3 linked regions of the Alligator mississippiensis genome follow. The protein of the gene in region 1 interacts with the protein of each later gene in a pairwise test. Links are inferred from orthologs where the notes say so. Each region holds a gene or a part of one and is shown on either strand. Other genes may lie near its edges.

Evidence for each region.
Region 2: the proteins of PDLIM7 (region 1) and ZMYND11 interact in a two-hybrid assay, tested with the Homo sapiens proteins (2 studies listed by BioGRID). The link is inferred for Alligator mississippiensis from reciprocal best matches to the Homo sapiens genes PDLIM7 and ZMYND11.
Region 3: the proteins of PDLIM7 (region 1) and GEM interact in binary tests that used the Homo sapiens proteins (3 or more experiments, as listed by UniProt). The two-hybrid records come from large-scale screens. The link is inferred for Alligator mississippiensis from reciprocal best matches to the Homo sapiens genes PDLIM7 and GEM.

The regions. Positions count from the first base shown.
Region 1 is NC_081832.1:79,406,825-79,416,831, reverse strand, and holds the start of PDLIM7 (PDZ and LIM domain protein 7), read right to left. Parts: upstream 4,848-10,007; 5' UTR 4,745-4,847; intron 4,493-4,744; 5' UTR 4,491-4,492; coding exon 4,386-4,490; intron 2,330-4,385; coding exon 2,178-2,329; intron 1,716-2,177; coding exon 1,685-1,715; intron 1,229-1,684; coding exon 1,074-1,228; intron 248-1,073; coding exon of another isoform or gene 231-247; intron 1-230. Other genes in the region: DOK3 (docking protein 3), read right to left, coding at 5,229-5,969, 6,088-6,260, 6,391-6,484, 6,711-7,235; probable ATP-dependent RNA helicase DDX41, read right to left, coding at 9,065-9,201, 9,446-9,556, 9,936-10,007. UniProt on the Homo sapiens protein: May function as a scaffold on which the coordinated assembly of proteins can occur. May play a role as an adapter that, via its PDZ domain, localizes LIM-binding proteins to actin filaments of both skeletal muscle and nonmuscle tissues.
Region 2 is NC_081828.1:200,872,371-200,883,350, forward strand, and holds the start of ZMYND11 (zinc finger MYND domain-containing protein 11), read right to left. Parts: upstream 4,242-10,980; 5' UTR 3,993-4,241; intron 3,962-3,992; exon of another isoform or gene 3,866-3,961; intron 3,108-3,865; exon of another isoform or gene 2,717-3,107; intron 1-2,716. UniProt on the Homo sapiens protein: Chromatin reader that specifically recognizes and binds histone H3.3 trimethylated at 'Lys-36' (H3.3K36me3) and regulates RNA polymerase II elongation. Does not bind other histone H3 subtypes (H3.1 or H3.2).
Region 3 is NC_081826.1:43,629,849-43,640,335, reverse strand, and holds the start of GEM (GTP-binding protein GEM), read right to left. Parts: upstream 4,242-10,487; 5' UTR 4,193-4,241; coding exon 4,191-4,192; intron 46-4,190; coding exon 1-45. UniProt on the Homo sapiens protein: Could be a regulatory protein, possibly participating in receptor-mediated signal transduction at the plasma membrane. Has guanine nucleotide-binding activity but undetectable intrinsic GTPase activity.

The DNA.
Region 1 (10,007 bases):
CCACACCTCTCCCCAGGGCCAAGGCCAGCTCCTGCCCCTGCGAGGGGCCAGTCAGGGCCCAGATGAACACGGATCCCCGGACAGAGGCAGTGCTGGGCAGGCAGAGCCCACAGGCCAGCTCCCCCCAAGCCACAGGCTCCGCTCAGCAGGGCCGGGCTCCAGGGCAGGTCCCCAACAGAGCAAAGGGCAGCGAAGGGCATGCAGGAGAGAGCAGGCAGAGGCTTACTGACTTGTCAGGGCTGTGCACCTGCAGCAGACGGGAGGAGAGAGGAGAGAAGACAGAGGAGAGGTTAGCCCGGACCGCAGGGAGTATCGCAGCAAAGCCCGGAAACACGCCGCCCCACAGAGCCCGCCTGGCGCCAGCACCATCCAGGAGGGGCACAACCCCTTACTGCTCCATGCACCCCAGCAGGCCAGGGTCAGGCGTTGCCAGAGCCAAGCACCACATGGAGCCTGGCTCAGCCGTCCCCATGCTCCTCACTGCATGGACACTGGCTGGGGACGGCTGCAGAGCTGAACCCCCTCGCTGCACATGGTCGTACAACCCTGTCCCTGCCCCGGGGCCGCAGGAGCCTCCCGGCGCGAGCGGACAACGGCGCAAGCCACGTGACCAGAGACCCAGTCCCAGCCGCCCTCCTCCAGGCACAAGGTCTACACCTGGCTCGGATGCAGCAAAGCCCCACTGCAGGCCCAGCGAGGACGGCGGGAGTCCTGGGCAGGCCCCAAGCCGTGGCCCCAGACGCACTCCCCAGGCACAGATGCACGGCGCCCCCCACTGGACGGTACTGTGCAGGGCCGGCAGCAGGCCGTGCACACGCTGACAGGACCCTCGGGCACCCTGGCCCCGGCAGGCGGGGGGAGCTCAGACCCTGGGCGCAGAAGTTGGCGGGCAGCAGCATCTCTTGCAGTGCAACACCAGCACCAGCCACCAGGGGGCACTGGACACCGCAGGCATGGTGGGGTGGGGTGGGGGGCACACACGGGCACGGGTCCAGCATGCAAGGCCGTGGTGCGAGGGCAAGCCCAGGCCGGGCCAGGGCGCCTGGGGGGCAGCGTGATGGACAGCAACGTACCCATTGTGCTGCGGGGCGCTGGCAGGCGCCAGGGGCGTGTACGTCACGGGTTTCGTCACTGGGGCGGTGCCGGCCCCGAAGGGCCGCGCAGTTTTGTTGAGGGCGGAGCTGGGCGCAAAGCTGTATTTCAGGGGCTCAGAGTGGGGGGGGGCATCCTGAGCAGGAGACAAAACATGACAGCGGCTGGCGACGCGGGCAGCAAGCGTGGGCGCAGGTGTGGGGCACCGGCTCGGGCACAAGGCCACATAGGATGTGCCCAGCCCCAAGTGGCTCTGCAAGGCAATGCCCCCACCTCAGGGTCAGACCCTGCATGGGCAGTTGGGGGGGCCTGGGAGCTGCACAAGTGCGACACGGCAGCACTAGGAAGCCAGGAGCAGCCATGCAGGGCAGCGCAGCCCCTGTCCCTGTCCTTGCCCGCAGGACGAAGCCAAGCTCACCCGGTGCTCGCAGGCAGCAAGCAGCTGTGGCAGCCGGCAGGTGCCCAGGCCTTGCACCACCAGCCCCACGAGTGGAGCCATGGGAAGCTGCCTGCCACGCCTGGTCCTGCCAGTCAGGTCTCCCGGTGCCCCCCAGCCCGCCCAACAGCCCCCCGCAGCCCCAGCGCCACGTACCTTCTGTGGCTTCCCCACGAGGTTCTGGGCTCTGCAAGAGAAGAGACGGAGCCCAGGTGAGCAACAGCCGCAGGTGCGGGCTCCTGCAGCCTCAGCACCACGGTGCCCAGCGTGCAACGCTCTACCCTGTGCCCTGGACACAGGCAGCTTTGCGCTGCGAAGCCACCAGCTGGACCCAGCGAGGGCCAGACACAGGCTCCTGCTTGAGCCACATCTGGGTGGGATGCCCCAGGCCTGGGCAGTGCCCTGGGCATACAGCCGCGCTGGGTGGTGGGGGCCCAGCTGATGGGGCTGTGGCAAAGGGACCTCCGCAGCCTCCCATTGACCAGCCGGCTACTACCAGCAGCAGATGCACACACGCCTGCAACTTCCCATAGGCATGCTCCTGCCACCCCTGCACCAGGCCACAGCACCCTGGTCCCTACCGTACCCTGCTCATGCCCAGCCCAGCACCCCCCACCCGTGCCCTGCAGGGGAATGCCCGGGCTGGCACCTGCTGAGGCTGAGGCTGAGGCGGTCGCCACAGGCGCGGATCCTGTTCTGCGCCTCGATGTGGGTCAGAGCGCTAGCGTTCTCGCCATCGATGCTCAGCACCCAGTCGCCCACGCCCACGCCGGCCTGCGCCGCCTTCCCACTGGGTGTCAGCTGCCGTGGGCACAGAGGGAGAGAGTCAGGCGGGCAGTGAGCAATGCTGCCCCGTGCCCCGGGGAAGCCAAGTGCCCACACTGCTGCCCTGGCTGATGCTGGGGACACTGGGCTGGGCCCGTTGGGGCAGGTACCTACTCCCAGTCCTCCCCTCCCCCCCAACACATCCTGGGGGCTTTTTCCTGGCCTGTGGCCCGGGCCAGGCCCCACCTTGGCACAGAGACCAGGCGCCCCCCGCGGCTCTGCCGGCCGAGACAGGAGCAGCTCCGTCCCCGGGAGCCGGGCGTGAGTCAGAACTTCGCCGTCCCGGCGCAGCCCATGCATCAGGCCCGGGCCTGTTGGAGCCTGAACCACAGGCATTTCCGAGGCTTTTGTGTCTGGGCTGGGGGGAGACAGGCGCTCCCACCCTGGCCAGCCCTGGTCGCTCCCCCATCTCCTGTCCGCGGACAGACGTTACCTCATCCCAGCCGTGAGCAGCGATACCCGCTGGGGCTGCCCCCCCGCCCCCCCGCGGGAAAGTCCAGCCCAGCCGGCACCACCACAGCAGCCTCGGCCCCGGGGCGGAGGGGCAGGGGCCAAGGCCAGGATGGGGCAGCTTCGAGGCAGACGTGTGGTGCTGCCACCCCGGCCCCGGGGACCTGAGAGAAGCATCTTCTGCGGGGGCCGCAGGCTGGGGTGGGAGCCCAGCAGGGCTCAGCCGGGTGCACGGTGGGGGGGAAGGGTGTGTGGGTCCAGGCCACCCCCTACCCCCTGCATTGCCTGCAGTGCGGCCGGGCCTGCTCTCACTCCAGCTGCCTGGGCCGGGCTGGGGGAGCTCCAGGCTCCTGGACTGGAGCCAAATGCTTCTCTGGCTCAACATGGACATAAAAGGAGCGAGCCAGATCCCGGCGGCGGCCCCCAGGCCCCTCCCCCCGGGCCAAGGCCCCCGCGATGCCGGCACCGCCCCCTGCGCGCCCCAGCCCCGGAGCCTGCGGGGATGCTGGTGCTCACAGACCCTCGCTCCCAGCCGGGCTGGGCCCGGGGGCCATGGCAGAGCCCAGCCCGGGAAAGCTCTCGGCTCCAAGCGCCGGAGAAGCCTGCGCCGGGCCTCCGGGTGGCCAGGACCCCCCGACCAGGCAGAGGAGCTGCCCCTCGCGCACTCAGCCCAGCCCTGCAGCCGCATCCTGCTCCCGGCCAGGCCCCTGCCCAGCTCTTCCTGGCTGGCTGGAGACAGGCCTAGGCAGCGCCCAGGGGGAAGCAGGGCCGTGTCCCCGCAGGACCCCAGCCCTGCTGACGACTAGGGCGTATTTTTATCCTCTCCTGCCTGAGCTCAGCACTTCTCCCTGGCCCCCAGCGCCACCTCTGACAGCTGGGATGGGGCTGCAGGCCTGCCCCACCTGCCCCCGTCGCTCACACCGCGGCCAGCCCTGCACGCACCAGAGCACCTGCCCTGCCCCTGCCCCATGGCAAGGAGCACGAGTGCCTGGAGCACACGTCCCCGCTGGCTGTCGGGGGGTCCTGGGGCACTGCCTGGGCCCCGCTGGCTGGGAGGCGCTGTACTAACGAGCTGAGGAAGGAAGCCTCGGCTACGCCTGTGACCGTGCCCACCCGGCACAGCCGCCTTCCTGGGCAGGGCCAGCTCCGGGCAGGGCAGCGCTGTGGCTGCTGGAGGGAGCTTGGAGCCAGGGGCCTGGCTGGGAGCGACGCGCCCCAGAGGAAGCTCAGACCGGCACAGGGCGCGGTGCTGCGGAGGGGACCCGGGGGCTGTGTCTCTGTGGGCACGAGACGTGCCAGCCCACCCCACCTCCTGGGCAGCCTCTTGCCCCCCCACGCCTGCGCCCCGACCCCAGCACGCAGCCAACAGCCTCCCCCCGTGGGCAGCTGGGAGCCAGGCTGCGCGAGGCCCGGGGAAGGGCCGGGGCCCTCGGCTAGCTGCCTCCCGCAACGAGCCCCAGCCTGCGCGGGGCCGGGGCCGGGGCCGGGGCCGGGGCCGCCCTCCTGCCAGCTGGCCGCGGCGGCCGGCGCATTCCGAGGCTTATAAGGCAATGGCTCGGCGGGCCCGGCCGGCCGCGCTTACCCGCGAGATGGAGAGCGGCATGTTGAAGTCCTTGCCCCCCTGCAGGCGGAAGCCCCAGGGCGCCGGCCCCTCCAGCACCACCTTGTAGGCGTCCATGTCGCTCATGCCTGGGGAGGGAGACGGTGAGCGGCGGGGCGCGGCGAGCCGAGGCGGGGCCGGGAGGCGCGGGCGGGCGATGAGAGGCGTGTAAGACGACACCGCGCCCGGCACTGCCGGCACTGGGCGACCGCGGCGTGCCCCGGCCCCGCTCCTCCGAGCGGGGCGCGGCGGGACCGGGGGCTCCGGCCGGGCAGGCTCCCGCCCCGCCCCGCCCCGGAGCCGCAGCCCCCGCGCACCCCCGCCCGCCCGCGGACGCTGACCTGCGGGGCCCGGCCGGGCGGAGCCGGCACTGCGCGACGAGCCGAGCCCGACACCGCTGCGCTCTGCGGGCCGCGCTCCCTGCGCCGGGCCCTATGTACCCTCGGGGGCGGGGCCGGCCCTAGGCCCCGCCCCGCCCCTACTGCGCTTGCGCGGCTGCGGGCCCCGGGCCCCCGCGTGCGCCCCCGGACCCTCCTTCCCCGCCGGGCCGCCGCCCGGCTCCAGCGTTACCGGCCCGCCCCGCCCCGCCGCGCTCAAGGAGACGCTGCCCGTCGCTCCGGCGCCGCCTTTATTTCCTGGTCGCGGCGCCCGAAGCCGGAACCGGCGCCGCACGGAGCCGCCCCGAGCCCGCGGGGTGTCGCTGTCCGGGAGAGGCGCGCCCGGCCCGGCCCGTCCTGCCGGGAAGCGCCGCCGCCCCCCGCTCGGTCCCCGCCGCCGGAGCCCTCGGGACGGCCGCTGCCCCCGCCCTTCTCCCCGCCGGGCGGCTCAGGCGCGGTCCGCGGGGCTGGGGGTCCGGCCGGGCACCGGCGGCGCCGCCTCCCTGCTCAGCAGCGTGACCAGCCTCCGGCGGAGGCCGTTGCTGGCCGTGGCCTCGCCGTGGGCCGCGCTGTCGGGCCCCTCCGGGTCCTGCAGCCGCTGGTAGCGGGGCTGGAGCACGGGGCTGGGGGCGCCGCTCCGGGCCGCGGCCACCATGCAGCTGTTGTCGTAGATGGGCGCCTCGGGGCCGCTGCTGCCCTCGGGTGGCTCCCGGCAGCTCCGGTGCCAGCTCGCGGCCGCCTGGTCCAGGCCCCGCCCCGGGCAGTCTGTCTCCGGGCCGCACAGGTTCTCGTACAGGTGCTCGGAGGGCTGCTGGCCCCAGGCCTCCGGCTCCGGCTCCCGCCGGACGGCAGCAGGCAGGGGCTGCGGGCCCCGGGCAATGGAGGCGTAGATGACGGGGAAGGTGTGGTCCACCCTGTCTGGAGCCCCTGGCTCCCGTGAGCAGGGCTGGGGCGGAGGGTGCTCGGGCCGGAGCCAGGCGGGTGGCGCGGCCCCTCCGTCCTCGAGGGCCCAGGACGCTGATGGTGCCCCCTCGGGGCTGCTGGCGGGGTGCTGCCAGGGCTCCTGGTTCCTCTGGCGGGCGATGGCAGCGGATATGAGACCACAGATCTCGGCAGCGCGGCCCGTGCTGAAGGTGAAGACGCCCTCACCAGAGTCGCAGCGGCGGCCGGCCTCGAAGGACAGCATGGCCTGTGGGCGGATGGGGGTAAGGGGCAGGGAAGGCCAGGGCCCCAGGACCTCCCCCCCCCCGACACTGCAGGGAAGAAGTGGGGCACGGGGTGCCAGGCTTGTGGGGCCACACAGGTACCTGGTCCTGGCCGAACTTGCGCAGGAAGGGATAGGGCCAGGCAAGCAGCGGCTGCCGCGTCTGCAGCTCCTTCAACACCAGGCGCTCGGGCAGCACGGCCAGCAGGTAGCGCCCGCTCAGGCCGCAGCGGGTGGAGGCCTCGGTCCGGAGCAGCAGTACTGGGAACTCGTTCGCTGGCGGAGGAACGGAGCCCACGTTGACGCTGCAGCCCTGGCTCCTGTGAGGGCATGACAGCCCACCCCCCACCGGCTGTAAGGCGTGTCCACCCATGCGCCAGGGCAGGCACCAGCCCCCCGCACCTACGTGCGTGCCAGGACGAGTAGATCGTGTTCTCCTCCATGTGGAGGCCAGAGCTGGGCGAGGCCCTGTTGCTGCCTGGAGCCATCTCCTTTGTGCCCTGAAAAGCAGAGAGGTGAGCCGCGTCCACCGCCTGGGGAGCAGAGCTGCAGGGAGCTGGAGGGGGGAACACATGGAGCTTGGGCAAGTCCACAGACTTGACCACGGGACCTCCAGGGGCTGGGGAGGGGGCAGATTGGCTGTAGCACCACCTGAGCCTCCCACGACTCCGTGGTGCTGGATGCAGCCGCCCGCCTGTGCCACCCCCTGGCCAGGGTCCACCATACCTGGAAGGCCAGTTGGCAGAGCTGCGCCACCCACTCGTCAGGCTGCTCGGCCGCCAGCACGTGGCTCTTGTCCAGGGTGCGGAGGCAGAAGGCGGCCGTGCCACGGGGGCAGCCCTCACTGCCGGCAGGCCCCACGGACACACAGTCGGCCAGCCGGAGCACCCGGCGTTCGCCCCGGCGTAGCGATGTCTTCTCGGGCCCCGAACCGTCCCGCACCGCAAACTGCTCCATGCGGGCCACGCCTGACGGGCCAGCCGCGAACAGCTGTGCCCGCACCTTCTTCCAGGACCTCTGGGGGTGGGTAGATGAGCAGGGCTCAGCACCCTTGGGCCAGGGATGGAGCTGGTAGGATGCTGCTTGGAGCCACCGGCAGGCAGGGAAAGGAGACCCTCGTGCAGGCACCCTGCCTCTGCAGCACCTGCTCAAGCTGGAGCCTGCGCCTGCCCTGCGGGCTGCGGGCTCAGCCCGCCGGCATCTCACGCCCTTCCTCTGGGCCCAGCAGCTCCGAGAACACAGCCCAGGCATCCGGGCTGGGAGGCTGCGGCCAGCCTCGTGCTGCCCCTGGGGGCCCGGCAGGTGGGGTGGACCAGCTGTTCCAGCCTAGGCCCTATGCAAATCAGGCCATTTAGGGCTGTTTGCGCCCACGACCAACAGCAGCCCTGCACCTGACACATGGGCCAGGTCCTGCCAGCACCACCCACCCCTTCCTCCCGGGGGAAGCTCTGCAGCAGCCAGCGGGTCACGAGGTGAGGGCACGGGGCAGCTGCAGCCTCCTCTTGCAATCCCCACGTGCTGGCTGAGGAGAAGGGGCAGACAGGCCCAGAAGCACCGCCAGCCATGGCTGCACTGCCCACCCCATGTGGGGGCTGCACCTGCCTGCTCCGCTCCACCTGTGCTGGGATATGGGGGCTGCCCCAATGGGCACCGTGCTCCCAGCCTGGCACTGGTCCAGCTGGGCTGCGACCCAGCCTAGGCCGGACCCGTTTCCAACCTGAGGCACAGGGTTGCAGCTTGCAGGAAGCATCTCCCGTGCCCTGCAAGGGCACCCGGGCTGGGCAGGTTGCTGGGGGACCTGGCACCTCCAGGACAGGAGGCAATTGAGGCTCTGCCTTGAAAGCCCGCCTGCAGTTGCTGCCTATGGTCAGACCCTGACCACGGCTGTAGGGACCGTGGTGCTTGTGGGGTAGTTGGCTGCAAACCCAAGCCACATGAGGGCACTGGGCCCCAGTCACCATCCCCATTCCACTTGGGCTGCTGGCAAGCACTGGTCCCTACCCACCCTGGGACAACGGCAGAGCAGCAGGGCTCAGCCCCAGGGAAGACGAGGGGCTTCCACACCTGCCCCCCTCACTCACATGCACCACGTTGTACTCTGTAACAGCTTTTATTGCCCTTTGCGCCTGCCGCAGGCAGCACCCACAGCAGAGTCAGGAGCACCAGGACTGCTGGTTGTGGCTGCCTCCCCGGCACCCAGGCGTGGGGCCGAGACCACACGCCCCTCCCCCTGGCCAGCAAGGCCTGGAGCCCAGCCCTGCCCGTTACCTTTCCAAATTTGAAGTGCTGGACATAAAGGATCCCATCCTTCACGGGCCCCTCCATGGCTTGAGCTGCCTGGGTTGTGGAGCCGTTGGCCACGGGAGCTGGGGCTGCTGCCGCAGGAGTGCAGGGGTAGACTTCCCCTCTGCATCCACTTCCCCTTTCTGGCGTGTGAGCCGTGGAGCTGGCCCTGCCTCCGCCAGAGCAGAGCAGTGGGGCAGAACGGGCAGGCGGGGCTGCGAGTCTGCCCTAGGCAGGCTCTCACAGCCCCTGCTTGAGGCAAGGGGGGTGGTGCTGAGGACTAGGACTGCCCCTTCCTGCCCAGCCCAGCAGCCCCAGGAAGATGCTGAGCATCCCCTAGACTGGGGAACAGTCCTGGCAGGGCCAAGGGCATCCTGGCAGAATCTCTGTGCCAGGCCGAGCCGAGGCGGCCTGGGCTAGCAGACTGTCCCTACTGCCCTCCAGCTCCCCCCACCCAAATCCCCCTGGGCCGGTGCTGTGCATCTGGCCCAGAGGCTCCCACTTGCTCAATCCCAGCATGTCAACAGTAGGGCTGATGTAAGAGGCTGTTGCTGCATGGCACAGCACTTCCTCCCAGCACCAGAACTGCAGCCCGGCTCTGGAGCAGCAGGGAATGGGCAGCATGCCCCAGGGGCCTGGAGCAGGCCGTGGCGTGGCTGCCCGAGACACAGGGACCAGCCGCCTGGCGCTAACATGGCCTTCCTGGTGCGACTGGCACTTGCCCAGGGAGCAGCCACCTTCCCCTTCCCCCACCCCTTCACAGCATCTGGGCAGGGGCTGGTGCCCGGCGGGCAGCCCTAGAAGTCCATGGAGCTGTGGGCCAGGTAGTCTTTGCGGCCGATGTTGCTGACTTGCTTGGTCTGCATGGCTTCCAGCTTGGGGCAGTCTGTGATGCGATGGCCCAGCCCCCCGCAGAAGGCACAGCCCCTCTCCCCTATGACAGGAAGAAGGATGAGTGAGCTCGGGCAGGGGCAGGGCACTGCCTGGGATGGGGGAGCTCCCGCAGCTCTTGGGAGAGTAACAGCCCCAGAAGTGCAGCCACTGCCAGAGTGCACGGCTCAAGCAACCTGCAGCTGCTCTCGCCCTCCCCTGCCTCAGTGCCCCCTTCCCTGGACAGGACGCAGCCCTTCCTAGGGCCAGAACGGCAGCAGAAGTGCCACCTTCCCGCAGCCTCTCACCTCCGATGTCCAGCATGGTCTCATCCCCGCAGTGCAGCACCTGGAGCACAGGTGGTACCTTCTGCTTGGCCTCCAGCAGCAGCGCCTTCAGGTCCATGAGCACCGACTCGTCTGGGGGCAGAAGGGCAGCTCAGCACAGGCTCCAGGCACAGATGCCAGAAGGAGCCTGCAGTGCAGGGCACACTGAACGCAAGGCTGTGGGGCAGAGCAGGGCCCCAGGTGGGAAGGATAGCAGAGTGCCCCCCCATAGTGTAGCACCTCATGGTGTGGGGCACAGGGCAGCTTGACCACAGAAGAGGAGCACCCTCGATACCCTCCCCATCCAGACCCCGGGCCAACACTGCCTGAGCCACTGGGCTCCTCATGGCTCCACCAGTACCCACCTGGCACTACCCCATCACTGGCTTGGCAATGCACACGGGGTCAGTGGAGGACGCCCTGCCCAGCTCAGTGTGCCCCAGCCCAGCAGACCACCCCTCATGCTCCTCACCGCAGGCTTTGTTGATGAAGGTGGTGGCGATGCCCGTGTTCCCCGAGCGGCCCGTACGCCCAATGCGGTGCA
Region 2 (10,980 bases), on another chromosome or scaffold:
AACTTACCCCTACAGAGCAAGTTTACTAAAAAATTCCCTCTAAACGCAAATTACTCAAAGTCATTATTTTGTCTTGCAAGCTGCGTCTGCTTTGTATGCCACATTTCCCAAACTGACAACAAACTTTCAGAGTGGCAAGTAACCTAATCAGGATCCAAATTTATATCCAAATTAGCAAAAACCATTCAGACCCGATAAAAACAACCTTTGTTCACAACAGCTCAAGAAACCTTGACAAAGTGAAATATATGAGCTCCATAAAAGATGATATATGTTATGCTGCCCAAGTGCCAAGGGCTCCACGCTTCAAATAGCAAGGGAGTGTTTGATTCTGACTATATTTTGGGACTCTTGAAAAAAATTACTCTTAGAAATGCTTGTAAAAGAAATAGCTTCAGCTTGCAGTCTTGTCTGCAAGAGATGACCCAAGCCACAAACCGTACTTCTGATAATGTAAACCTGTAGCATAAAGAAGGTTACCCTGAATCTCCACTGGAAAATGAAAAAGCTAAAAGAAACTTCATATTACATACTGAATTTTTAAAAAAAGTACAACCAATAGAAATCAACTGCTGCACAACCATATGCTGAATACATAGACAAACAGAAATTAGCTGCAGTACACTTGACTATAGGCACAGCCTCTGCAAAACAATCATTTATATAGACCGGTTCAGGAAATTTAAACTAAAACAAACAAACAAATAAAAAACTACACACGTATCTGTGCAGTAATTAATTTTTGACAAAATTCAGCATTCCATGGGCCAAACTCACAGCTGGTACATGAATCTGGCGCTATAACTTGATTTGTTTTACAGCAGAATTTTGTCAACAGAGTACTAATATTTGTGGGAATGTATCTGTCCAGCAGCAAAATGAAACCATGCTAACTTTATTTTACTTTCAGCTAAATAGTCCTCTACGTGTGGTTAAAAAAATACGAGCAGCCTAAACTGCTTATTGGGTATTTTGTTTCTAGGGGCCTGAACTGTCTCTATTGAAATCCTATCTTCTGGATAGATTAGCTAGCTGTGACCTTAGGATCTACAGCCTTCTGGGCCTACTTGGGTTGGAAGATCAAGTATTACATGCAAGCGAGTAACCACGAATGAGAACAAAATGCTGATTGTAGATATTAAGGCAAAAAATGTCAAATTAAGTTGATTAAAAATAGACATCTAATTCAAAATTTAGGCCTGGCTTTCAAGGTGGCAACTTTGAGAAGTTTTTGGAAAAATAAGACCAAGTTTATTTAGGTTTGTTACAGACAGATTTAGGTGCCTTGTCTGTATAGACTTGCACCTTTTCTTTCTAACAATCTCCCCCCACTAAACAGTGATAGATGACACTCTAAGATCATAAAACGCGTGAATTAAGTCAAAATACTCAAAATACTAGTTCACTGTGTCCAGAACGCTTTCTTCACATTTGCAGGATATTTTTTTAAAGATATCTAGTGTAACTTAGGACTTTTATACATACACAGTTTTATCAGAAGAACTGATACAGACAAACTAAACCAGTATAAACCAGAACAGAACCAAGAGTGTACACATACAAAATTGAACTGTTTTAACATCGCACCAGTTTAACTATCAGAACTGTTTTAACTATCACACCAGATAACTATCTATCAGTTTAACTAGTGGTTAAACTGATAGAACTTTGTATGCTGCGTAGGTCTCATCCTTTTTATTTTTTCCCTACAGAAGAAACTAATATTATACAGTTCCACACTGTAGAAAAAGGGTAACCAGTAGGATAATACTACAGTATTTCTTTCCCATTTCAATTTAAACAAAAAAGCTTTATATATGTGCACATGCATGCACACACCCCCACTTGGAAGCTGACTCTACATAGTAGAGAAGCAGGATGCGTTTACCACTGTCTTTTATTGAAAAATCATGTTGTTGAGAGAGATACTCGACAAGCTTTTGGGCACAAAATAGGCTTCCTCGGGTCTGAAAGCTTGTCTAACCTCACTCCCAACTATGTAGTTGGTCCAATTACTGAACAAATGCAGTTCAAACTCAATTCAAAAATTCAAACTCGCTCACTCCCTGGATCACCACAGCTAGAACATTATTCCATATAGCAGCATGTTTGCATCCTGCTATCCAACTAATAATAGTGAGCTGGAGGCGCATTCTCTAGGTGTAGGCCATTCTCTAAACTCATTCAGTCCTTCAGCTGTCTAAAACTGCCTCAGTGGTGCCAACTGTAGTGGTGCTTATAATGTATTATCTGCTCAAGATGACAGAGGTGCTAATAAACCTCACAACAGACAAAACAGTCAAACGAGAGTAATTTCTTTCAGTCACCATTAGCTTAGTTTGGAACACACGAGGAAAAAAAAAGAAATGCTCCTCCTTGCTAGGGCTCCGCAAGTCCTTTGCTTCTCCCATCAAAACAGCCAGTCAAAAGAGCACGAGTCTGTTGAACTGTAGCTTGGCACTAAATGTAAACCTACGCAGGGAATTATTCTGAGTATACTTTCACTTTTTTATATAAAACAGCAGTTAGCAAATGCTTTCCTTCCCTCAAGACTTTCTGTAACATGCTCCGAACGGTTGAGAACAAAATTATTAACAAAATGTGTGGAGAGGTGCCAGGTCCTTCATGGTGAGTGATAAGGGACTAGGAAAACTCAAGGGATTGCAACCCAAAACCAGAAACTGCATTTTCCCAACCCCCCCCCACCAAACCTCACCTGTCTCCAAGCTTTCCCTGAAGGAATTCAAGGCTGTTTACGAAACAGCACCTGAGCAAAGCCAACAAAAGGGAGGGAGAAAGGTTTCTACCCTTTCCATGGCACCAGGGGTTCCCTTCGTAAAAAGCTGTTCTAGTTTAGCTCTTGACCAGAGCGGCGCGCAAAGTCTTATCGCGAAACACCCCAAGGCCAAACTAGCCAGGAGCGATACGCCCGGCCAACGTTATACTCCACGTTTCCTTTCTTCCAGTCCGTAGCTCCCCAAAATCCTGGTTCTCGAGCAGGAAGGAAACGTCTTTTGAAACTGGCACCAGGGCAAGATCGGCGACAACAGGTTTCACGCTCAGGGAGGGATCCGGGAACAAAAGAGGCCAGGACCAAATGCCAAAGTTTCCCCAAGTCCCTCAGGCTGCCCTGCCTCCCACAGCCCTAGTTATCACCCCTGTTCCCGAGGCCCAGGCAGCTGCTGGCTGCCAGCAGGACTGGGGAGGAGGGACGAGCTGCCCCGGGGGAGGAGGCGGCGGTGCCCCCAGGGCAGGAGTGTCCCGCGGGCACGGGGCGGACACGCAAGGCCGGGCCCCGCGGCCTGGGAGCCCCGCGGCCTCGCTCCCTTGTCTGCCTCAGGCGGGCGGCTCTCCCCGAGCGGGGGGGCGGGCCCTTCCCTTCCCCTCCCCTCCCCTAACACGGGGGGGAGCGAAGCAGGCACTGGGCCCGCGGGGGGGGGGGGAGCGGGGCTGTGGCCGGGCTGCGCCACACCCCGCGCGGCCTCAGCGCTCACTCGAGCCCCCGGCTCCCCCGCTCGCAGCAGGCCCGCGCGGAGGCCCCCGCCGCTGCAACAACCCGGACCAGCGGCCGGGGGGGGGGCAGATCGTGAATAACCCGAGTTAATAATGCCCCCCCCCCGCATTATTATTAAACCGAGTTAACACCCCCCCTCAAGAATAGCCCCCTCCCCACGCGCGCACACACGCGCGGCCGCATTTAATCCGGGTCCCCGCGTGCCCCCTCCCCAGGCGGCCGCAGCCTCGGGCAGGCCCCCGCCGCCGCCGGGGCACAGCGTGTGTGTGCAGGATTGGGTAGGTTTTTTTTTTTTAAGGCGCCATGTTTATAATCCTCCATCATATTTAAAAAAAAAAAAAAAAAACGCACCCGGCAGGAGACGCGGCGTCTGCCTGGGCCCCGGGCCGGGCCGGGCCGGGCGCGGGCTGCACCCCGGCCCCGCCGCCTGCCCGCCCGCCCGCGCCGCCGCCGCCGCCGCCGCCAAAGTCTCGCTCACCTTGTGCGGTGCCGCTCCTGCTGCTGCGGGAGGAGACGGGGAGGGGAGGGGAGGGGAAGGGAAGGGAAAGGGGGGGGAGAAGTTCAGCCAGGGGAAACTTTTCAATCCTTTCCCCAGGCCGCTGCCTCCGCCGCCGCCTCCGTCCACATATTTTCTCCCCCCCCTCAGAGTTTTATTGTGTCTGAATTTTCTCTCTCGCGCTCGCTCCCTCTCTCTCCTCCTCTGCTGTCTGTCCACAGTTCAGGCTTCTGGGGTAAACAGGGTTTAGGATGGTGCTGGGGATATTTGGGAGAAGGAGAACTCTAGTGGCGTCTGCTGGAGTTGCTGTTTGCTGCTTTTATTTCGTTTATTTCATGGGTTGTTGTTTTTTTAATAGGATACATTTTAAACAGATCTGAAACTCCTGCCTTCTTCCAATCAGTCTTTTCTGTGGGTGTGCGGGGAGGGCCCCACCATGGCAGGATGAGGGCGGTGAGCGTGGCACAGAGCAGGCCCTGCTGACACCAGTCCTTCCCTCCTCAAATGCAATTTAGAGACTTTCTGGATTTGTTTCCACCCCACAAAAGTGCCCACTGACTTTGGGCAGGCAAACAGCCCTAGTCTGCAACAGCAGATGCTACTTTCCAGTTCAGCTTCAGGCACCCATGTTCTAGATGTATATGTGGGATCAGGCCTACTAAAACAATACATATTAAAAACAAACAAGTAGCAAATAGTGTCTGTAATTTTTCATATTTAGCCCGTTGGGTGGTTTTATGTAAAATGTGTGTGTACTTATTTTGAGAGGGAGAAAGAGTATGTATTTTATGGGGTGCCTACAGATGTACTAAATGCATATTGGATTAATATTAATGCCAGGCTAGTTACATCCATTCTAATTATTGTGATGCACCTTATAAACTAAAAGAAAGAAGCAAGTTGCATCATAATTACAGGCTTAACCAGATCTTTTTCTTGCAGTTGATACAGACTCTCATTCTAAACATTTATGCATGTGAATAATAGTTATTTTGAAATAAATGAGGAATACTCTCATAAGAGACTCACAATCTTAACACCTGATCTAAAAAAAAGACTTACATACATGCCTAGTTTTAAGTGCTGTGAATAGTCTAAACTGTTTAACCATGTTGAAGTGACTAGGACTAATAATACAATAATGCATAGGTCTGCTGAATCAGGGCCTAGTATCTCCCAAATAAAATAAAAATAATGTAATCTGTTGTGTAGCAGTAATATAAATTCAGTTTTGTTGTTCATTGCAATATGAGAGACCAATTTAGAATATCTAAGATAACTACAACAGATAGATCAGCAAACACCCTTTGTGTTTTCATCTTTTAATATTACTTGAGGAATTTGGCTGATACCAAATTACTATTAGTTGTTATTATTAAGAATATAGGTTTCATTTTAAAGTCAATGTTTTTATAATAAGTATACATTATGAGGCATTTGCTTTTGGTATGGTTACAAGAAGCCTGCAATTTCATCTTGAGCATTTGGGTGTAATTTATGTTTAGTGGTTAGGATTTTTAATGGTGTAGGTACCTGATTACAAAAGAAGTACAAAGAAATTAGACACTCGGGTTCAATAGGATTCATCTGCCTGCTTACCCCACTGCATATACTTTTCTCTGAGCCATAAATATTAAAAAAGAGAAAAGGATTTAGGGTCTGAGCCTATAAACCCTTACTACCATGAGTAGTTTGTTCATAGGCCATACCCATGTTCATAGCAGTAATATTGTCAGAGGGCAAAACTGCAATCATCTCCAGCTTGAGCAGGATCAAACCTTTCATCCCTCGGAAACTATTGGGACAATTGTCATACAAGTACTCAACCTACAATATGTCCGACTCGAACATTCATCTGTACATGTGTGATCCGGCCCTCAAGGTTGTTGTACCCTTGAGGTTTTAACCTGGAGTTAAATGATTGCCAAATAACTTGTGGTAGTTAACGCACTTGTAAAGGTTAGCCTGGACACTCTCCAAATGTTTGTTCCAGGATACAAATGTTTATTTTTGGCAAAGCACAAATATTTGTGTCATGAAACAAACTTTCAGGAAGTGTCTTCAATAAATGTTACTGTGATTGACAGTCGATAACCTGGGAGGAAAAAAACTCTAGCATAAAAGTTGTCATATAAATAGGACATAAGCATTAGGTGTTCAAGGGATTGATCTTCCCTCTGCCTGCATGAGGATCAGGATCAGCGCCTTGTATGATCCAGCTTCAAGTGACTGAGCATTTGCAAGACTTGGCTTTTAGGCCTTGTCTTGATTGACAAAGAAATATATATGACTTTCAGTCATTCTGGCTCACTCAAGTTAGCTTTAGCATGATTGAAAAGACTTTTTATGTGCTCATTAAGATGCAAGTTTGAAGCCACATTAGCTGGCCCTGTTTAGCCTCTGCTCCTGTACATGCATTTATCTGCATTTATTTCAGTATTTGATATAGAGGCTCCCCTTTGATAGCTAAGTTCTCAATTAGGGAGCAGCACCAAGAGATTTAAAATCATATGAAGCAGTCAGGACTGAGGCAGGCAGACAATAGGAAGGAAATCCCACCCTCCATGTGCATTGGGCAGCAGCTTGTTCCCTCATAGGCAGTGCCAACTGTTTGTTAAGGCTACTGTCAGATAAGGAAGTGTCCTAATCCATCCTCCAAAGTGATATGATTGGCTGTTGGGAGTGACAGACAGTTACACTTAGATTAGAGTGTCAGTGTAAAATTCAGGGCATTTCCTTTCTCCTCCCCTTGGCTGGAAAGGTCTCTGAAAAGGAAAAGAGTGTTACTTGGTTTCTGAGCTAGAATGGAAAGTACTGATAGTAAAAGAACTCAATGTGGGGCAGAACAACTTATCCAAGAGAAGTATTTGTATAACTATAATCAGGAGCTTGCATTTGAATGTCAATATTTCCAGAGAGCCAGCTTATCACTTGGTTGAAGGGAAAGAAAATACAGGAAAAGTTAAAATGGGAAGAAGAAAATAAGCAGAGCTTAATTTCCTTCAGAAAATATACCTCACTCAAAATAAAAATGTTGAAAGCTAGGTTAACATAACAAACTTTGGCTCGCATAGCTCTGTTGCTCAGGGTTTAATATATTGGTATACTAGCCCAGCAAACCAAGCCAAACGTACACCTAATTTAAATGACGGTGGTAATTTTTCAAGCTAAATTTTACTTTTAGATATGCATGCATGATTATTGAATTATAGAGTGCATATGCATGCATGTACAGCTATATGATGAGTTTATACTATGGAAACTTATTGAGTCTAGGAACCTGGGAGGCAGATAATAATATATATTTATAAAGCTATACATTTATATAATGCAAACAAACAAGAACAGAGCTTGCTAAATAAGGCAAACCAGTAATTCTCCACCAGAGTGCTTCAGCAACCTGGAGTGCCACCAGATCCTTTTTAGGGTGGTGTGAGGAAGGAGGAAAAGCACAGGCTCATCCTGGACGATCCCTTACCCCGTTGCCCAGCTCCTCTACAAGTAGGTAAGCCCTGGAATATACCAATTAGTTTTTTAAACGGGGTGCCACTCATTTCACAAATTTCTGGGCAGGTGCCTGGAGTCCAGAAAAGTTGAGTCACTTGGCTAAACAGTTATACAACAGGGTTTGTTAATAACCTACATGGGGCCAGTATCTGGACATACATAATTTGCCAAGAGCCAGCTACCGCTCTCAGGTTGTGGCACCTTCTGTAACTAACAAAAATAGCTACAAAATAAGCTTATAATATAATAACCCCAAATCACAAGTCAAGATACAAAAACCATGTGATTGGTTTTAAAATCATGCAGTTAAAAAAATTGTAAATCTGAAGTTATTTTATTTGCCCCCCTATTTTCTAAGCTTTTAGGGTACTTTCAGGTCACATTAGGAAGATTTTCTTCATAACCCTCAGATCTACACTCTTGAATTGTAGAATGTAGAGAGGTGAGGCTGGAAGGGACCTCCAGAAGTCATTTAATCCAATCCCCTGCCTGAGGCAAAATCATCCTTATCCAAACCATTTTATACAAATCCATAATCTGAACTCTTTGTAAAACTACTATCAACCCTAACACAACACAATGCATAACACCCTACCCTGCCACAGGTAAAGCAGGGAACAGCAGCAGCCAACATCCTGCTTCTATAAAAGTTTGTTAATATACTCTCAAGAGGTCCCAGAAAAAGGACTATGCCTCCTACTACAGAGGAAGGCAAAACCCCTCGTAGCCTAAAGCAATCTGACCATGGGGTAAAATTCTTTCCTGACCCCAGATATGGTGATCAGTCTGACCCTGAGCTGAGGGGCAAGACTTTTAAACCAGGAACCTCTGGGTTTAAGTCCCAGCAGGAGCACTGGCACACCCCAGTCAAAATCCACAGCTTTGGCTGTAACCAACACTTAATGCCTTTGAGAAAGACTTAAAAACTCCCTGACAGACAGCAGAAAGGTGGGGAGGAGGCAACCAGCAAAGCCAGAAGCATAGGAAATAGCCATAGTAGAACATAGGCATAGCTATGCCAACCAGTGGGTGTCCAACACCCTCTTAAACAACTGCAGCAATGGAGAGTCCACAACTTCCCTAGACAGTCTCTTCCATTGCCTCACTGTTCTAACAATGAAGAAGATTTCGTGATATCCCATCTACTTTGTTTTAATGAAAGCTGAGGTTCTTATATAATCACTTGAATCCAGAAACATGGTCTTTAAGGGAAATAATAAAATCAAGAGATTTTGGAATAAATTTGCAAGAACTAGCAATATTGAGCTTTTTATATAACAACATAGCAACGACAAAACAATTTCTCCCCTTAGTGATGATGCTGATATACCACTTCCATGTAGGTCTAAGATGTGTACATTACCTATTGGTCTCAGTCAACATTACATTTTGGTCATAGAATCATAGAAAAATAGGGCTAGAAGGGTCCTTAGGAGGTCATCCAGTGCAACCCCCCTGCAGAAGGCAGGATCATCCCAAGGCATAGTTTGTGGTCAAGGGTCAGACTTACAAGAGATATAGGATTTTCTGGATGGGAGGAGAGAAGGTATCTTGTGTAAGGCAACTTTCTATGAGCACAAGAGGTTGTACTAGGATAATTATTTTGTAAAAATTCATCTCTCTGAACTAAAATAGTTATACCAATAGAAAAGCCATGTGTGGACTTGACTGAAATCATCAGAGTCATAACATGACTCCTGAGCACTCTGGGTGGCAGTGACACACAGAGCAGTGTCACTGGCTGTACTGCTGGTGACATGGCACTGGCCAGCTCAGCAGTGCAGACAGTTCTAATTGTTCATTGTTCACCTCCCATCCCAGTGACTCAGTCTTCTCCTCTTTATTATGCAACTGCAAGTAATTGCTACAGGGAATCATTGAGCACAAGCAAGATATAATATGAAAATATACATTTTTAATGAGTAACAAGAAAGCCCAGAGTTATTATAATTAATAACGTTGTTTTGAAGATAATTGTAAGCTTTGTGTCTATTTCCAACTGTGAGAGATCAGGATGAGACCCAATGTGAGGGGCAAATTAACTCATAACTGCCACCTTCCTTTAAAGCATCTGGTATAGGCCAGATGCAGACTGAATGAGGTGGACTTTGGATCTAATCCATTATGGTAGTTACTATGTTCATGGATGCTCTGCAAGATTTACAGGACCTGTACAAAGCTAAGCATTAAAATGGAACTGTCCTGTTTATGACCATCTCTAGCACTGACAGTGGATACAAAAGCATGACAGCCAAATGGGAACTTTTTCTCTTCATAGAGTGTTTGAAGTGTTGGAGGACAGCCAGAAATGTATAAGGTTCGATCTTCCACCTTATGTGCGGTTTGTGCGTGTACAGCATATAGAAAATGTATAGATGCTATGTATTTTATGTATTAGTTCTCTTTAATAGATTGCATTGCATTCACAGATGGCACTTTAATCTTTTCAAAGGTTCCTCATTAAAGTGAAGTTTTGTTAATAAACTATGAAGCCAAACTGCAATAACGTGTGTGAGAGTATGTTCATGCCTTTTTATATTTTACGACAAAGTTCTAAATTAACCAAGCACACTATTAAAAAGAGATGGTACAGTATTTTCAGGGTAACTAAAATCCAATTATGTTGGGAAATCATAACTTTGAATATCCTGATTTTTGTGTTTAAAATTTTTGACATTGTGTTGAATTTACTTGAATTGACTTAAAAATACAAAAGTGGAAAAGACTTAAAATGTAGCACATATTTGCATGATTAAAATCCATGTTACATCTGTATTTACTCACCTAGGGAAATATGACCTTTCCCTATAGGCCTCAACATAATCTTACTGATTTATGTTCAAATGCTGGGTGTGCTTTGCTTATACCAACTGGAAACTTTGGAAAACTAAAAATAAAGACACTGAAAGAGCAAATATACCCACAAGTCCCTTATGCCCTAATTTTTAGAGGGACAGAAGAGGTAAAGCAGCAAGTGAAATAGGGTCTCTATTTTCTAAATCACAATAATTGACGATTCACTTTTTTCCTTTAAAAACAGATATATAAAATCTTGTCAAACTTTTCTTTAAAATTACTTTGGGCTGGGAATAAGTAGGTGAAATAACAACAAATTTCATCAAGAAGTTATGTATGTCTGAAAATTGGGGCTAATAATGAAAGTGCTCCTCAACTACATTATGTAGTGCCCCTATTGTGGCACTGTAACAAAGTAACCATTGATGCTCTACTGCTATTTATTATATTAGAACAGTGGGATCCATCTCCCCAATCAATTATTTTCCTTGTGTGTATGATTTACGGGAGTATATTACTAGAGTTGCTACTTCAGCAGTAAGAAGCAGGATTCTATGGGAACGCTAATTGATCTTCTTTCCCAAGTTGCAGAATATCACCTTTTGGAAAAAATAGTCTCACATCCTACATGTGCATTCATTGTCTTCCTATTTAGATGGCAGGAATA
Region 3 (10,487 bases), on another chromosome or scaffold:
TTCTGCTTTCTTGCTTTGGGTGTGACCTTTAGACCTTGAGTTCTCCTGAGAAGGAAAAGAAGATACTCACTTTCATGGAGTCCCCACCTGGTGGCCTGCTCCAGCACAGATACAGAACTGAACTAAATGTATTTGAGGGAAAGTCCAATGTGAGCCATGTAAGCTACAAAGGTGACTGCTGATGTGGGGTCTGTCACAGTTTGTCCCTGGTCCTCCTCGGCACACAGGTTTACATTGCAACAAAGAAGTGTAAAGAACAGATGTTTTTGTAAGATTGTTGGGCTGAGGCCATTGTCTACAGTATCCCTGGGGACCATATTTCCCTTTAACAAGATGAAAGGTCTGTTGGACCCAGGGATCTTCTGAGCTGTTAGGGAATGAAAGGCCTAGCAAAATTAGTTGTTTGTGAAGGTTGTACAGGTTTCCCTCGATTTATGCTATATATGTGTTCCCAGAGAACAGCACATAAATCGAATTTGCATAAAGCAAACCCACTTTACAAAGTAACAAATGAGGATAGGTTCCCATAGTGGTGAGGGTGTTGCCCTGTGGGGTCAGGACAACTCTCAAGATCTCAATATTGCACTGTTAGACAGAAAGGTGTGTCACAGTTGCACATATACAAACACACAAATCAATTAGGTGCATACACACACACACACATACACTCAGGCACATACACATCCAAACCAGTCTAGGCACATGCATACCTATCACCAATTCAAGCACATACACTATACACCCCAAAAGTTGGACAAAAATCAATTGTCCATACCCGCACACTCAGTACACATACACAGATCACTAATTTGTATATTATGCACACAATGACATATATATACACATTCACCAGTTCACACATACAACCCACATACACACAGGTAAGTTCCTAACTTGGATGAGACAGTGTGTATGTGTGTGCTTGGGGTACCTGGGATACTTGGGGGAAGGTTAAGGTGAGAAAGAGGGTTAAAGTATGGGGAGTGAAAGTTGCCAGAACTGGGATTAGAACCGGTGGACTAGAAAGAAGCTGGCTGAGGAACTGAGGCTTGGGGTTACTTAAGATCAAGTAGCCCCAGGGTTACTTGAGGTCACTGGTGCATAGGGAAAAAAGCCTGATGGCAAGGAGGAGACAGCCAGGAAAGAAACTGAGGCAGAAACCTGGGAGCTCAGGGGAAAAGGCAGTGGGGATAAGACAGTGGCAAAGAAACAGGGGGTTTGGAGGCAGAGAGGAGCTCAGGACAGGTGCTGGAGGTGGCAGTGAGCCAGAAGCAGAAGAGGGAGAAATGAGACAGAAGTTAGAGGGGCGAGGAACAGCGATTGGAGCAGGACTGGACTGCAGTAAAGCAAACCCAACTCAGGGGTCCGAATAAAAGTTTTATTAAACAGACAACACACAACACAGCCCCATGAAGTTATTGGTGCACACACACACATGAGCACTCACAATGGCAGCAGGAGAAAGAGACTCAGTGGAAGGGTTGGAGTCCAGGTAGGGAAGAGAAACAGAGTCCAAGTCCTTGGTTGAAGAGGGGGTGGAAGGTGATAGCTACCTATCCAGGCTGGAAAGGGGTCCTTGATCAGTAGGTATTGTCCAGACAGGGGTCGCCGGCAGGGCCTCTGGGTGGATAGATGGTGTGGCATGGTGCTGGTCCAGATGGAGAGGGCATCCCAAGGAGTCAGTCTTCACTACCCCTTTTATGGGGCAGACTACCCCTGATCTTCTATGGGGAGGGCCTGTCCAGGCAAGGTCAGTCTTGTTCCAGTGAGTTCCAGGTGTTCTTACTGAGCATGTGCAGCCTGGCACAATGGTGGGTTGCCTCATCTTTTGTTTCTTGAATGCTGAGGGTGTTTCCAAGGGCTGGGTCCTTGGTCCAGGTATTGGTGTTGATGATTTGGTCATTCAGAGGGAGCTATTTTTAGACCTACTGCCATTGTCTCTCAAACACCCTCATTCATCCCCCATTCATTCAGAAACCAAGTTACATAGGAGGAGTAGGTATGAGTCATAGGTCAGGGGACACCAGATGGAAACTTGACATGGCTTATGCTAACTTACGTATGTAGGCCTAAAACAGTAATTACACAATATAAAAGCAGTAAAGAAAAAAATCAATACGGACATAATAATTATCACTTATAAAACAGTGGATACCTATATCAAAATAGCAGGGCACTTATTTGCGAAGAGGGGAGAGAAAAATAAAACTTAATACCTAAAATAAAATGTTAAAGTGTATCCTACACCTTAGCTTACTTATACTTATCTATAGGGAATAGAGAGGGAGAAAAAAAGTCAGAAATGGTTGGGGAAGGGGAGGGAATGCATTTTAAAATAAATTTAAAAAAAGAAAAACTGGGGGTTTTGCTACAAGGGAGGGAAGGAGGACTAGGGAAGGGACGGAGGGAGGGGTGCTGCTCCCGGGGCTGCACAAGGCAGCAAAGCAGAAGGAACAGAGCGGCACTCACCCCAGCCCCACATGCAGTGGCCCCAGGAGCAGCCGGCACCGGCTGCTGCAGCTGCTAGGCTGCACCATGCTCTGCCTGTCCCCACTCACCTCTGCTCCTGGCCTGTGCTGTGCCCTGGTACAGGCAGTTGGTCAGGGCCACTGCAGCCAAGGCTGGGGTGAGTGCTGCGCCCCGCACCACCCGGGGCTCTGCTTGTCCACACTCACACCGGCCCGTGCTGGAGTAGCCCCAGGAGTGGTCGACACCAGCTGCCTGCACCAGGACACGGCACAGCCCAGGAGCTGGGGTGAGCCCAGGTGCAGGGGGACAGGCAGAGCATGGTGCAGCCCAGTGGGTACAGGCCACTGGCACCGGCTGCTCCCGGGGCCGCTGCAGGTGGGGCTGGGATGAGTGGGGCCACGACCCTTTCCCCTCCCCCCACAGACTTACCTGCTTGGGCGGGAGGGCATCTATGCTGATTGCATAAGAACCTTGCATATAATGAATTATGGGTCTAAATATGCTCATCGCATAACAGCAAATTCGCATCTAAAGAATCTGCATAAATTCAGGGAAACCTGTATAGCTTTTCAGGGGCACCCAGGGAACGAGGAAAAAGTTTGGATCCTCGCCTAGAAAGGGATTTAATTGCTGGCTAAACAGGGAGAATGTTGTGGATTCTGTGATCTGCCCAGAAGCTATAGGCAATTCTTTGTTGGGGGGGGAGAGTGTGCATAATTTCCTAGGGTTTAAAAAAGCATGCTGAAAAGAAAGAAATTCCATTACGTAGTATCATATTGATGGTCACACAACCTATCCTCAGCGCTGTAAGTGCCAACTCTACCACACAGACCTTTGTCACTCGAGTAAGCAGAGTATTGAAATGGAGAATTGAAAGCAGTATTATATTAGGCTGACATCCTATGCTTATCAGCCTGGGGGAGAGGGGGGAGACAATTTGTCTGTGTTTTTCAGAGATGTTACAGACAGCAAAGAACTGATGAGAGTCCATGATGAGCTCTTAGGCTCAATTCCAGGATGTGGTGGGTATGACCATAACCATCTCTTCATGCTTGAACTATTTTTGCCTCTTCCCCTAGAACTTGTCCCTGTCCTCTCTTACGCACTCCTTGCTTATCCAGTTCTGGTGTCCTGTCCTTTCTTCATGCCTCTCATCCCAGTCATTTCTCTTTGTCCAGACAATCTCAGTTTCCATAACTAACCTGCAGGGTAGCCTGTCCTATCCTAAGGAACCTGCGGTCGCAGGGGGCCCCGCATCCAAGGGACCATGCCCCACTTGCCCTCCACAGCCTCTACCATGTTTAAAGGGCTGAGCAGGGGAGGCGTTCCTGGCTCTGCTCCCGCCCCAACCCCAGGGAGGGAACCCAGGCGTCCCCAGCACATGCTGCCCGCACATCGCCCCCCACCCTGCAGCACAGCCCACACACACGCAGCCCATCCCCGACTGGATCAGGGGATCACGGGACCCCAAAACTATATCTTGTACAGGGCCCAAAAATTGTGGGCTGTCCCTGCTTCCTGTCCCAGACTCTTCTCCGCTCCCAGCCAGCCTCTTTGCCCAGACATATCCCAGCTTACCCTCCCTCTCATCTTTCAGTTTCCTTGCCAGACCAGTTCCAGTCTCTTCACTTCTGCTCCATCAAACTTTCTTGCCCCACCAGCTTCCTTATCCTATATACTCCTTTTTTTTCCTCGTCTCCTCTCATACCTTTCTCTCTTACATTTGAATCAGACAGGTTCCATCTCCATGCTGCACTGATGATAGCTGGGGGTGTCTGAGAGTGCAGGGATGGCAGGCTCCTGTGGACCCCCCTCCCTGTCTCAGCTCAGAGCACCTAGGAACAGGAATTACAGGAAGAGTCCTTCCAAGCCTAGCACAGCCCTGAGCTACAGCATGATCTATGGGCTGGCGGTTTCACAATCCTGCTTTATGCAGAAGTTGGGAGGGGATGGAATATGCTCAGTTTGGCAAATGCAAGCAGTTATTTCATAGATTTCATAGACATTAGGGCTGGAAGGGACCTCAGAAGATCATCGAGTCCAGCCCCCTGCCCAAAGGGCAGGAAGTCAGCTGGGGTCATAGGATCCCAGCAAGATGAGCATCCAGTTTGCTCTTGAAGGTGTTCAACATAAGTGCTTGAACCACCTCCGATGGCAGGCTGTTCCAGACCTTGGGGGCTCAGACAGTAAAGAAATTCTTCCTTATGTCCAGCCTGAAACGGTCTTGTAGTAGTTTATGACCATTCGACCTACTCATCATCCCTTGGGGCGCTCTGGTGAACAAATGTTCCCCCAGATACTGGTGGTCACCCCTGATAAACTTATAGGTGGCCATCAGATCACCCCTGAGCCTGCACTTTTCCAGGCTAAAGAGCCCCAGGGCTCTCAGCCTGTCATCGTAGGGTCTGCTTCCCTGACCTCTGATCATGTGTGTGGCTCTTCTCTGGACTCTCTCAAGCTTCTCCACATCCTTTTTGAATTGTGGAGCCCAAAACTGGTTGCAGTACTCCAGCTGCAGCCTCACCAAGGCCGAGTACAAGGGAAGAATGACGTCCCGGGATTTGCTTGAGAATCATGTATGGATGCAAGCCAACGTTTTGGTCGCTTTACTAGCCGCAGCATCGCACTGCAGGCTCATGTTCATCTTGTGGTCAATGATGACCCCCAAGTCTCTTTCTTGCATAGTGCTAGCCAACATAGCACTGCGAGCCTATAAGGATGCTGTGGGTTTTTCTTCCCAAGGTGGAGAACCTTGCATTTATTGGCGTTGAACACCATCAGATTCTCGTCTGCCCACTTGCTGAGCCTGTCCAGGTCAGCCTGGATCACCCGCCTGTCTTCTGGTGTGGATGCTTTTCCCCAAAGTTTGGTGTCATCGGTGAACTTGGCCAGTCCGCTTCTGACTCCAGTGTCCACATCATTAATGAAGATGTTGAACAATATGGGTCCAAGGACAGAGCCTTGGGGGACCCCACTGGTCACAGGACACCATGATGAGTGACTTCCATCAATTACTACCCTCTGAGTCCGACCACGGAGCCAATTTTCCAGCCAGTGGATCATGGAGGACCCAAGGCGACAATTGGCCAGTTTCTCTAAGAGGTGATTATGGGAAACCAGGTCAAAGGCTTTTTTGAAGTCAAGATATATGACATCAATCTCTTCTCCCTTGTCCAGGTGATAGGTCACCTGGTCGTAGAAGGAAATGAGATTGGTCAAGCAAGACCTACCCGCAACAAACCCGTGCTGGCTATCCCTTAAGATGTTGGCGTCGGCCAGTCCATTAAGGATGGCCTCTTTAATAAACTTTTCTAAGATCTTCCCCGGGATAGAAGTCAGGCTAATGGGCCTATAGTTAGCCGGATCCACTTTCCTCCCTTTCTTGAAGATAGGCACCACATTGGCCTTCTTTCAGTCTTCGGGCACTACACCAGAGCGCCAAGAGTTTTCAAAGATCCGTGCTAGAGGCTGGGCTATGATGCTCGCCAGCTCCTTGAGTACCCTGGGGTGAAGATTGTCAGGGCCGGCTGACTTGAAGGTATCCAGCTTCTCAAGATGTTCCTTCACGAAGTCAGCATCAGTGGAGGGCAGGGGATCACCCTCACCCAGACTTCCCTGTCCCGTAGCGGGCATGGGCGTCCCATGGGACTGATGAAAGACTGACGCAAAGTACCTATTTAATAGGTTGGCTTTTTCCTGGGCGTCAGTTGTCAGTTGCCCCATCTGGTTCAGCAGGAGTCCGACGTTGCCCCTGCTTTTCCTCCAGCTCCCCACATATCTGAAAAAGGACTTTTTATTGTCCTTGATGCTCAAAGCCAGCTGGAGTTCAGTTGCAGCCTTGGCTTTCCTGGTCTGCTCCCTATAGGACCGGACCAGTGCAGAATAATCCTCCTTGGAGGTGACTCCCATCCTCCATCCTTTGTAGGCCTTTCTTTTTAGCCTCAGGAGGTCTGCTAGGTCCCTGGAGAGCCAGGGGAGCTGCTGTGCCCTCTTGCTGCCTTTCCTCTGAGATGGAAGCCAAATCCATTTCATCTTATGAGAGCCAAATATGCTTAAGGAGAACAAAATAAAGAATTTCTCCTAACCATGCATGAATAGTGATTTTTCACAGGTTTATAAACTTGACCAAATCTGGGGAGATTATCTTGGGGATGACTAAGGGCACATTCCTGGTACAAAGAGCAGCTGCTGTCAAATGTAAAGTTTCTAATCCAAAAACATGAGGGCAGTAAAGCATTACAAAGAAAAAATTTAAATATTTTAACAAAAAACAGCAGAATATTGTTCCCTAGCCTCAGTCTTGAAAATGCCTCAACTGTTTTGGCTGAAATTTTCCGAAAGAAAAGAAATATCAGCCTGAGGCAAACAATTAGCATGAAAAAGTTTAGTTCAAGTGGTTAAAAGTTTCACAAAGTTACAAGCAACAGGGTTACAGAGAACAAGGTACCAACAAAACACTGGGCCACTTTAAAAATAAAGTAGTGCCACTAGTCCTGATTATACTACGTATTCAGTATCCCAAATTTATCCTTGGAATAACTAAGCCAATGGGGTTGCACCTGCTTAAACCATCAGTGCCCAGGGCTCATCATTCTAGGTCTGAATCTTACTCAACCTTTTGGTGTGGCAGGCAGGTTAAGCAGTAGGTACGGGGCCCATCCCCAGGCCAGATTGGAACCCACATGGCAGGATTGGGCCCCATACCACCTCCCTCTGCTCCTGAAACAGGATCGGGCCCCTTACAATTTCCCTAAGGGTCTGCACCATTTCCCTTGGTTCCATGCCACCCACACTACCTCCCTGGGGGGTCTATGCTGCCTGCACTGCTTCATTAAGCCTCCCTGGGGTCCCATGCCATCAGATCTGGACCCCACACTGCAGAATTAGGCTCTACACCACCTCCAGTCAATGCACATGTACCCAGATCTGGCCCTGGGCCATATCTGCCCACTGATCCAGCATGCTATCCAGCTCATGAGGCTCCCCATGGCTTTGGAAATTTGGCAGCAGGGGAGCATCAATTGCTGTCACTGCTCGCCCACTGTCAAATTTTTGCACCCATAAGGAGCTCTATGGGCCAGATAGCATGGCTCCTTGAGCCGGATTTGGCCAATGAGCCAGGGTAGAGCACCCCCACTATAGGCTGATCCACATGGGTCACTTGTATGGAGCCCTGTCATTTTTAACAGAGCTCTGGGAAGACTTAAATATACACAAACCAGCTTGAAGTTTGGGGACAATGAAGCCCATATGGTGCAACCTCTCCCTCAGCAAATCTCCAACCCCCAGAGAGAAATTTCTGGTTACAATCTTTATTGATCAGGAAGCCACATCCCTAAAAGTGTTGAAAGCACCTGGGAGGAGCACAGGGAGATGGCTTGTTACTATACAAGTAGACTTGGCATACTTCGAGATTATATATATATCCATATCTATATCTAGATATATAAAATCATTTTGATGGTTAACATCTATGTTTATTTTTAAATGTTCATTTTGATTTTTATTGATTGAAATTATCAGGATTGCACAAAATTACGGGTGTGGGGGCAGACAATTTATTAATGACAGTATACTATTATTATAGTGCAGTTTAATCACCCATCATGACAAATATAACTACTGTAGGACTGCTGCCAGCTAAGCAGCAGAGCTGCCATCAATCCCAGCTCCACTTGCCCAGTAGCTCCTTTGTCCACTTTGTCACTTCCTCTTCCTTTGTTCCCAGTGCCCTGGGGTTTCTGAGAGTTGCAGTCCAAACTAATAGCACAGTTCTGCAGGGCTGTTCCTCCTGTTCTCACACAGTCCATCAGCCATCATTTTTCTTACATCCCCTTTCTATAAATGTTGATTATTAATGATGGCACTATTTTCCCGCAGTCTGTGAGTGTGAAGTGAAATAATTTATCAACATTTACCAACAAAAGTCAAATCCTGCCAAGCCTATGTATAAAGCAACTCCTAGTCTCTCTCAAACTAAAACTTTGACCTCAATTTGCTATAACAAGAAGGAAAAAAGACCTTGCATAATTGAAAAAAAAGAGCAAACAAATGAATTTTTCTCCCAATGACTAACATCTAGGACTCATTCCAAAGGAATGTAAATGGAAGAGTGCACATTGGCAAATGAATATGAAAAACTAAACAAATATAAAGGTGTATAGGGAAGATTTAATTTGATGCAACATACATGGAGAGAGCTGTAAGAAAGTGAAACTATTATGTCGGGAAACGCTTCCTACAAATTAATTAATATCTAAACAAATGGACTGAATTCTGACAGGAAGACTATAACCAAAGTTTAAACAATGACCAACCTATCAACTGATATCTAACTGAAGTATCACTAGAATTGACTTGGTATTTCTAAGTTCTGGCACACTCCTAAGTATGTCCAAGTTCTAATACTTAGTATTATTTATTTAGGACCTGATTCTGCAATTCTCACTCAAGTACTTATTGCCACATGTAGTCCCTTTAAATTGGAGAATTGCATCCTTCACCACATATCCCATAAATAGGGACCTACCTAAATAGCAGTTTTGTGGATTCTGTGGAAACTACGAAATCCAGGGTAGACCATGAAATCTGGGGGCAGGGGGGTGGGGGGGGCAACGACTTAATAACAATGTTTTTATTAAGTCTTTCCCTCCTGGGCATGTCTCACAGCCTACTTAGGAGGAACAGTGCTGGCTGGTAGGGCAGCATGATGGGGGCAGCAGATAAGACAGTGGCTGCCCCAGGGTCTCTCCGCCAATCAGAGCCAAGAGGCGGGGCTGCCACGGAATGCTCGCAAAATGGGCTCTTGATGCCAGGTCAAAGTCACAAAGATGTCTTTGTCTCGCAGAAAATTAAGTGGGTCCCTACCCATAAGTGTCAGCATCTACCCATTGCCTGGAAAGTTATGCACCTCACTTTTGGTGGTGCATAATTAATAGCCTACAGGCTCTTTTTATTTAAATTATCGTGACGCTGGAGTCTTTTTAGTTAGAAAAGCCTTTCCCCACTATTCTGTGCAGCCTTCCTAGATTTTCTAGCCACAAACACATCATTTATTAAAAATACACATCAACAGAAAGAAACACAGTTTACATCACATTCATTCTGTGGAAAGCACATTGCTCCAAGCCTGGCATTTTAGAAACTCCTCTGAGTTTTATTTTACTACAGAATGATTCAATCGCCATTTGGCACCTATTTTGCAATAGATGACAGATGTCAAAGCACTACAAAGACCTCTGAAAAAGTCAGACCCTCAGCTGGTTTCGATGTCAAACTCTTGCCAGAATGAAGGATACATCTATTGCAATTGTCATATCACTCAGATTTTTCCTCCCAAAGCTGCTTTTGTTGAGACATTTTCTAAGCATTAGCTGAAATGAAGGAAAGCAAGGTTTTATTTGGATTTTTACCTTATGAATGAATAATGATGTACATGTGTGAGAGAAAGAAACAGATAAATTACAAAAGATGAAAGCCAGGATACGTAGAACTGGAATCAAGGGAACCAGTGCTGTAGTTAATGGAGACTGAAGCAATTTGTTTAATCAAGCAATCCAAACCTGTTACAGCTTGCCAATTTCAAGGACTGCTTGGTGCAACTCGGTGCCCTGGAGCAACTTAAGAGCAGCACAGTGGCTGCTATAGCTTATGTTAGAGTAATACAGTCCACAAAGGAGTGTAGGCCAAGTGAGAATTAGTATAGTGGAACAATGCTCCCCGACATGCTTCCAGCACCATAGTAGAGGATTTCCACTAAAGGAACTTTCTGCTGGCACAGAGCCGAGGTGGAATTTTCAGAATTTAACTCCTCGGCACTGTTGAGTTATGTAAAGAGCCAAAATTGTAACTGAGCGTCTAGGTCTGTACTGACTAAAATAAGCTGATCATGTAGAAGAATGTCAGATTTAGACCAAAAGGAATTTGTATCTAATTCTTATTTTAATTTTGATTTTTGCTGAAACACAGACTCACATACCAGCACAGCTCGACTTTTAAAAAAGGTATTTCCAAGCATA